Macaca mulatta: one gene and its partner. The protein of the gene in region 1 interacts with the protein of each later gene in a biochemical or structural test. Links are inferred from orthologs where the notes say so. Each region holds a gene or a part of one and is shown in the gene's direction. Other genes may lie near its edges. The genes, in order: CHM and RAB7A.

What was found.
Region 2: the proteins of CHM (region 1) and RAB7A are reported together in a solved structure, tested with the Homo sapiens proteins (2 studies listed by BioGRID, with this or other methods). The link is inferred for Macaca mulatta from reciprocal best matches to the Homo sapiens genes CHM and RAB7A.

Annotation. Positions count from the first base shown.
Region 1 is NC_133426.1:92,377,786-92,381,611, reverse strand, and holds part of CHM (rab proteins geranylgeranyltransferase component A 1), read left to right. Parts: intron 1-2,460; coding exon 2,461-2,848; intron 2,849-3,826. UniProt on the Homo sapiens protein: Substrate-binding subunit of the Rab geranylgeranyltransferase (GGTase) complex.
Region 2 is NC_133407.1:155,157,919-155,161,744, reverse strand, and holds part of RAB7A (ras-related protein Rab-7a), read left to right. Parts: intron 1-1,723; coding exon 1,724-1,850; intron 1,851-3,826.

The DNA of each region.
Region 1 (3,826 bases):
TAATGGCAATGCTATCATATGCTTATATGACCAATGAGATTTCATCATGTGAATGCAGAAAACCTAGGCATACAGGTTTTGAGTTGACTATTGAGCTATGGGCAGTTTAACAATATCTTATTTGATTAGTATCTTTTTTTTTTTTTTTTTTTTTTTTTAGGACGGAGTTTTGCTCTTGTTGCCCAGGCTGGAGTGCAATGGGTCGATCTTGGCTCTCTGCAACCTCCACTTCCCGGGTTCAAGCAATTCTCTGGCCTCAGCCTCCCAAGTAGCTGAGATTACAGGTGCCCACCACCACGCCTGACTAATTTCTGTATTTTAGTAGAGATGGGGTTTCACCATGTTGGTCAGGCTGGTCTTGAACTCTTGACCTCAAGTGATCCACCCACCTCGGCCTACCACAGTGCTGGGATTACAGGTGTGAGCCACCGTGCCCGGCCTGATTAGTATCTTATATTTGACTAACCTTTTATAGTTTATAAACTACTTTTCATATATGTTAACTTTCTTATCTCACAACAGTTTCATAAAAGGTAGGGCAGGTGGACTGATCCCCAGTTTATAGGTGGTGAATCAGACAGATTAAATGACTTGCAAGTATTTCCTAGGTGATGAGTCTGGGATAGAACATGGATGTTTTCCTCACTTCAGTTTCCTAGATCTCAAAAGTATTCATGTAACATTAATGATATCAATTTGTTTTTTTGTTAGATTTTATTAGAATTACTATAACAGTAAATGTGGCATTTTATTTCTTGACATTTGAGTGTTATTCTTTCATTGCCCCTCTTTGTTTTTGTAGTGTTTATTGTATTATTTTTAATAAGACAATTATTTTTTTCACTTAACTCAGATTTTCTAATTTGCAATACAATGTTTTTTTCTTGGCCTTATTTTTTGTGTTTTTTGCAAGAAGTTTGTTTCACATTTGAAACAAAAATAGCCTTTGCATGTATAAACCATTATTCATCAAGCATTTATCAGATACCATATCTATAGAGCAGTGCAGTAGGTGTTGTGTGGGGCACAGAAGGAACGGTGCTAAGGTATTCCCTCCAGGAATTACAGTCTGATTGGGAAGATAAAGGATATACCGGAAAACCAAAAGATTATTAAAAAGGAATGGATAAATACATGCTAGGTAAACTGCATGTGTGTATTATGGGAGCATGGTATAATAGAGTGATGAGTGTAATTGGGCTAAGGAAGACTAATTCAAAGTGAAATTTAAACTTTTTCTTAAAGTAGTTTGTTAAAGTATGTGATTATGTTTGAGAATGGAAGAATTGTGATATTATGCAGAGTGGGAAGAAAAGGACGGAAGAGACAAATGATATGAACCAAACTATCATGATTTGACAATTAGAATTGATAAATTTGGAGTTAGAGATGCCATGTTGGAAAGTAGGTGGAGATGAAGCCAGAAGATTAGTAAATAAGGAAGACGGTTTGATTTAGAGACAGGAAGAGGAAGATTTTTTTGTGGGGTAAGTTTTAGATTTGTTATAAGGAAGGGCTATTGTTAGTTCTTGATCAGTCAACTAGCAGAATTTTAGTTGCCAAGACCAATCGCATACAAAGCATTGTGCCAGATATTGAGCAGTGTGGCAACTCAGTGAAAATAGTGGGCTCTGTGGAGGATAAAATATCATACAGAAATTGCTAAAGCAGACAGACTGAATGGGAGCCTGTTCTATAAATCAAGACAATGGTGGACTGAGAATGTTAACTCTAATAATAAATTTGGAAATGGGACTTCGACTAGAGTAATAGACATCAGTGCTAAAAAAGGCAGGAAATTATACAGAAAGGTCCTATTAGACACCACATTGTGATAGGCCAACTTAATCTTTTCAAGGCAGATTTTTTTTCCCTTTATTGAAGGTCTTCGGTCATATCACCAAGTCAGGAATTCCTCAATAATAACAATGTTGATAACTACCACTGTTGAGCATTTACTATGTCCCAAGCACTGTGTCAGGCTCTTTGCATGCAGTACTTAATTTAATCTTCAGAACAACCTTGTGAGGTGGGTGGTATTATCTCTGTTTCATAGATGGGTAATTTAGGTGGTCTCAGAGAGGATAAATAACTAGTCTAAGTTCACAGAGCTTACTAGTCATATGGTCAGGATTTGAACCAAGATCTGTTATTCTGAAGACTATGTTCTTCATCACTGTGGTAATTTGCCTCCAAAATACAACTCCCCTGTCTTAAATTCTCAAAAATGTGCATGTGACGTGAAATCTTTATATTTTTCAAATCTTAATTTTGTTTCTTATTTTACTGAAACATGAACAGATGAATGTTTAATGTCTGAGTCACATAAGCAAAACGTACACTGAACTTGATAAAAGGGGTAAAGGAATAAAAGTTGCTGTGAAAAGTTAAAGCAATATAAAAATGTAGCAGGGTAGAATTAACAAAAGCCTGGTGTTTATTATTATAATTTCTTATTAGTCAGGATTTGCATGAAGATGTAGAAGAGGCTGGTGCACTGCAGAAAAATCATGCTCTTGTGACATCTGCAAACTCCACAGAAGCTGCAGATTCTTCCTTCCTACCTATGGAGGATGAGTCATTAAGCACTATGAACTGTGAAATGCTCACAGAACAAACTCCAAGCAGTGATCCAGAGAATGCGCTAGAAGTAAATGGTGCTGAAGTGACAGGGGAAAAAGAAAACCATTGTGATGATAAAACTTGTGTGCCATCAACTTCAGCAGAAGACGTGAGTGAAAATGTGCCTATAGCAGAAGATACCACAGAACAACCAAAGAAAAACAGAATTACTTACTCGCAAATTATTAAAGAAGGCAGGAGATTTAATATTGATTTAGTATCAAAGGTAAGTACTAATTTTACCCATCTTTGCATTAAAAACAGTATCTGGACCCATAAACCCAGTTTTTGTAATTCTCTGAGATGCAAAACGTTTGTTTTGTAAAGAGAGAGTAGCCAGACATTTGTAGTTCATTTAAAATATTCCTTAAGTACAAATTAAAAACACGTTTAAAGTGATCACATTAAAATGCTTTAATTATGTTTTTAATCTATACCTGAAGAATACTTTTGTACTTGAGCACATACTACAACCTAATATTCTCTGGACACTATGAATTCTATCAAAAGAAAAATTCTAATGAACATGTTTAGAAATCCATGTTATTTACAGTCCATTTCCATCAATTCTTTTAGCCTTTATATATAGTAACTATTTTCACAACTGGATGATGATGAATACTCAGAATAAACCAATGCATTTTTAAAAATCATGTGTTCACATGGACACAGGGAGGGGAGCATCACACACCGGGGCCTGTGGGGGTTGGAGGTTAGGGAAGGGATGGCATTAGGAGAAATACCTACGTAGATGATGGGTATGTAGGTGACAGGTTGATGGGTACAGCAAAACACCATGGCGTGTGTATACCTATGTAACAAATCTGCACGTTCCGAACATGTATCCCAGAACTTAAAGTATAATTTTAAAAAAAGAGTCTCAAAAAAAATCATGTGTTCAGGTTTGAAAGCTTCAGAGGAAAATTTAATAGTGATGGAGGCAGGAAGGCTGGGAAGAAAGCTATTGTCTTCAGTTATGTTCCTGAATATAACTAACTTGAACGTAGTTCACTGTAACTTCACAGGAGGTCCCTCCATCTTAGAAGGGTACAATATTGCATTTGGTTTATAGGAAGCAAGACTATTTTAGTGCAAAAGAATAGAAAATCAGTAAGATAAAGGATTATGGCCTTAAAGGGTTACAGTACAGGACAGGATAAAAGTAGATAAAAACAGAGACTAAATCCTATAAGTTGAGAGCTAA
Region 2 (3,826 bases), on another chromosome or scaffold:
TGAGGTGGCTTATGCCCATAATTCCAGTGCTTTGGAGGCTGAGGGGAGGATTGCTTGAGCCCAGGAGTTTGAGACCTGTCTCTACAAAAAAAAATATAGCCAGGTGCCATACCTGTAGTCCTAGCTTCTGGGGAGGCCGAGGCGAGAGGATGGCTTGAGCCCAGGAGTTTGAGGCTGTAGCAAGGTATGATCATGCCGTTGCACTGCAGCCTGAGTGACAGAGCAAGACCCCAACTCTTAAAATAAAAAGATTCTGTGGTAGGCTTTTCAGACTTGGTATCTGAAGGGACCCATGAAAGCTTTGACTCATTGGAAGCTTATATATTTTTAAAAATAACAACAATAGCAAATGCAGGCATGCTTCTTTAGTCCAAAGTCCCCTGTCCTTCCTTTGAAAAGCCAGAGGTTTTTCTATCTTGACTGGCTTATCTGAATCACCTGAAGAACCTTTTTTTGTATGCGTGTGAGAGACAGGGTCTCGCCCTGTTGCCCAGACTAGAGTGAATGGTGCAATCACAGCTCACTGCAGCCTCAACCTCCTGGGCTCAAGTGATCCTCCCACCTCAGCCTCCAGAGTAGCTGGGACCACAAGTATGTTCTACCACTCCTGGTTAAATTTTTGTATTTTTTGTAGAGACAGAGTTTCGCCATGTTGCCCAGGCTGGTCTCAAACTCCTGCGCTCAAGCAATCCACTCGTCTCGACCTCCCAAAGTGCTGGGATTACAGGCTTGAGCCACAATGCCCAGCCTTTGAAGAACCTTTTATTCGCTAGCATTTGTCCAGCCCCAGACCAGTGGGCTAGGGCCTAAATTTGTGCTGTCTTTCCTACCCCGCAACTCCATCCCTGTCGGGATGGAAAGATAGTGCTTTTAGGCCTGCCTTACCCAAATGTGTGCAAAAAGTCTCACCGAGCCCTCATTTGATTCCAGGTTTTGCCACCTCTCCCCTTGGAGATTCTGGCTCTGGTGGTCTGGATTGGAAAACACTGCCTTAGGCTGTCTGGGTACCTCTAGGTTCTTTAACACAAATATGAACATGTTCCTTTGTGGCAAAGGAAGGTGATATCACTGGGTATTTGGAAGGTTTTTGCATTATCTTTAGGTTGCCTTAACCTCATCACACAAAAATCACACATTGTCTCTTGCTGAGTTTTCTTACTGGAAAACATATTTGGAGGAGTATTCTTTGAAGTATATTTGGTTTGGTGATATATTGGTGCTTTTTCTGCTTCAGATTTTAAACTTTAAAGCAGCAAATTGTCTGAGTGGTATATGTCTGCTCAAAGCCAAGGTCTTCCTCCTGGTGTTACTTCATCAAGCTAAAGAGCAGCCACTAAATGGAGAAACATCTAAGATAGCAGGGATACTGTTGGAATAGCAGAGCACTCTTATTAGTGAAGCTTCTTTAGAAGGAGTATATTTGCTGGCATCCTTCTAGAATGGGAAAAATAATACTAGGCTTTACCATTTGACCTGATTGTACCAAAACATGTAAGCAGCTTTTCCACATCTGCCCCACATCTGTACCTTGTATTTTTACCCAGAGAGAAAGCACAAAACTTCAAAAGTGTAATGCTGGGAAGGCTACTGGCATTGCCCTTTGCTGTGAGAGCAGTTTCTTGTCCTTCAGGTCAGGCAGATTCTTTCAAATGCTTCAAGTAATTCATGTCAGTTTCAGGACCTTCCTATTTGACTTATGCTTGTGGTTTTTCTCCAATTTCAGAGTCGGGAAGACATCACTCATGAACCAGTATGTGAATAAGAAATTCAGCAATCAGTACAAAGCCACAATAGGAGCTGACTTTCTGACCAAGGAGGTGATGGTGGATGACAGACTAGTCACAATGCAGGTAAGCATATGTCTTGGCTGTGCTAACCAGGCCTTGATAGTTCCTTTAGTCTTAATCTTTCCTCATGCATAGACATTTTTCTTCCCTGTTCTTCAAATCTTATTATCCTGTTTGTAGATAATTGGCTGATACTTAGTTAAATTTGAATTTCAGATCAATAGTGAATACTTTTTTGGTATACTTCTTGTATATCTCAGATACAAATTGCTAAGACACACTAAAATTTCTTCTTTTTTTAAAAAAAACTCAGATTTATCCTTTCTTGTTTTTTGTTGTTTTTGGTCTTGTTTGCTAAATTTGGCAACCTGCAGGTCTCTATCTTGTGTTTCTCTTGACGTTCTTGCCCAGTGCTTTAGGTAAACATCTTTGTCTCACCTCAGTAGTGAGACATGAAGTTTCTTTATTTTTTTGACTTTCTATTTCATATGTAACTTCAAGAGTTGTGTGTCTATTGAGCCAATCTGTTTTTTTTTTATGTATCAGCTTATTAATCTTTCAAGGGTTTCCCTTTCAACAGTTAGGATAAGATGTAGATTCTTTCATGTGACTTGTTGAAAAGCCTTCACATTCTGGCTATAAACTGTTACTCCCTTTTTTTTTCCCCTTTGAGTCATTTTGTTTGTATACATGTATTATATCCCTAGAAAAGAACCCCTGAAGGGTGGATACCTTGAGCCCAGGAGTTCGAGCCTGCAGTAAACTGTGACTGCTCCATTATACTCCAGCCTGGGTGATGGAGTGAGACCCTGTCACTAAATTAAAAAAATAAAAGAATCCCATGATTTTCCCTCCTGTATTTTCATCTCTTTATTCATGGTCCGTGATGCCAGCTGAGGTTGTCAGTACAACCTGACTTTGAAACCAAACTATTGGGATAGGAGTAGATTATTCTGTCACTTTTCTAGATCTTTGAGTTGCACATCAAATCTGGGGCCATTCATTCCAGTTTTAACCTGCCTGTGAGGTTCACAGTAATTTTCCCAGCTCTGTGATCACCGATGATTTCAATTTTTCAATGTGATCATGTTTCATTTCACACTTAGAACCAGACGATGACTTGGGAGCACAGCCTAATAAGTACCTGGTGTTTGCCTTTGAGAGCATCAACCAAGACATTCATGCACACCATTATGGAGGCAAGGAAAGATGGTAGAAATAGCTGCTACTCACTTTTTTTTGTCTCCTTCCAGTCCTTCTGAATCATGTGCTGCTCTTACAGACTTGTGTTGGTGGATATGTCTCTGCTTCCAGCAGGGCCTGTATACCCACCGGAAGTCTCCAACTTTTCGCTCAGATCTTTTGAAACTTCTATCTCTGTGGCAGATGTTCTTTCCTACATGCTTCTAGAGGCAAATTCCAATCCCATTGTAGTCCTAGCAAGTACCTGGCAGATAGTGGGGGCTCGCTGAAATGTGTGAATGATGTAGGTTAAAGGTAGAAGTTTGTACATGTGTTGACCTCGAGCTGTGGCATGCTCCTAGAGGATCAGGACTCTTAATTGACTGACACTTCTAGGACAGAGCTAGTATGAATCTCTCATCCTCACCTTACCTATACACATACACCTAGAGATCTTCAAAATGTAACTGCAGTTTAAGCAAGTCAAGCTTGAGAGTAGAACTGGAAAACCTTGGCCCAAGGAATTGGCAAAACTTGTGTCTGCAGTTGTTGGAGAATCTCAGTCCCACTATCCACGTGTACAGAAATCTTTGTCTCAAAGAATTTAACATAAATCTCTGTCAATCCTGGCAAAAACAAGGGTAAGACTACTCTGTAGGGACATTTACTACTGTAGGAGAGAAGATGAATTCATAACCACATGAGGAAATAATGTACCACAAGAGATGTTCACAATGACTAGAGATGTTCTAAAAAGAAATAGAAACCATAATGGAAAGGGATACTATAAAAAAATGAGGATATGGAAAACTTAGAACTTCAAGAAGTGAAAAAAATAGTATTGAAATAAGCTAAAT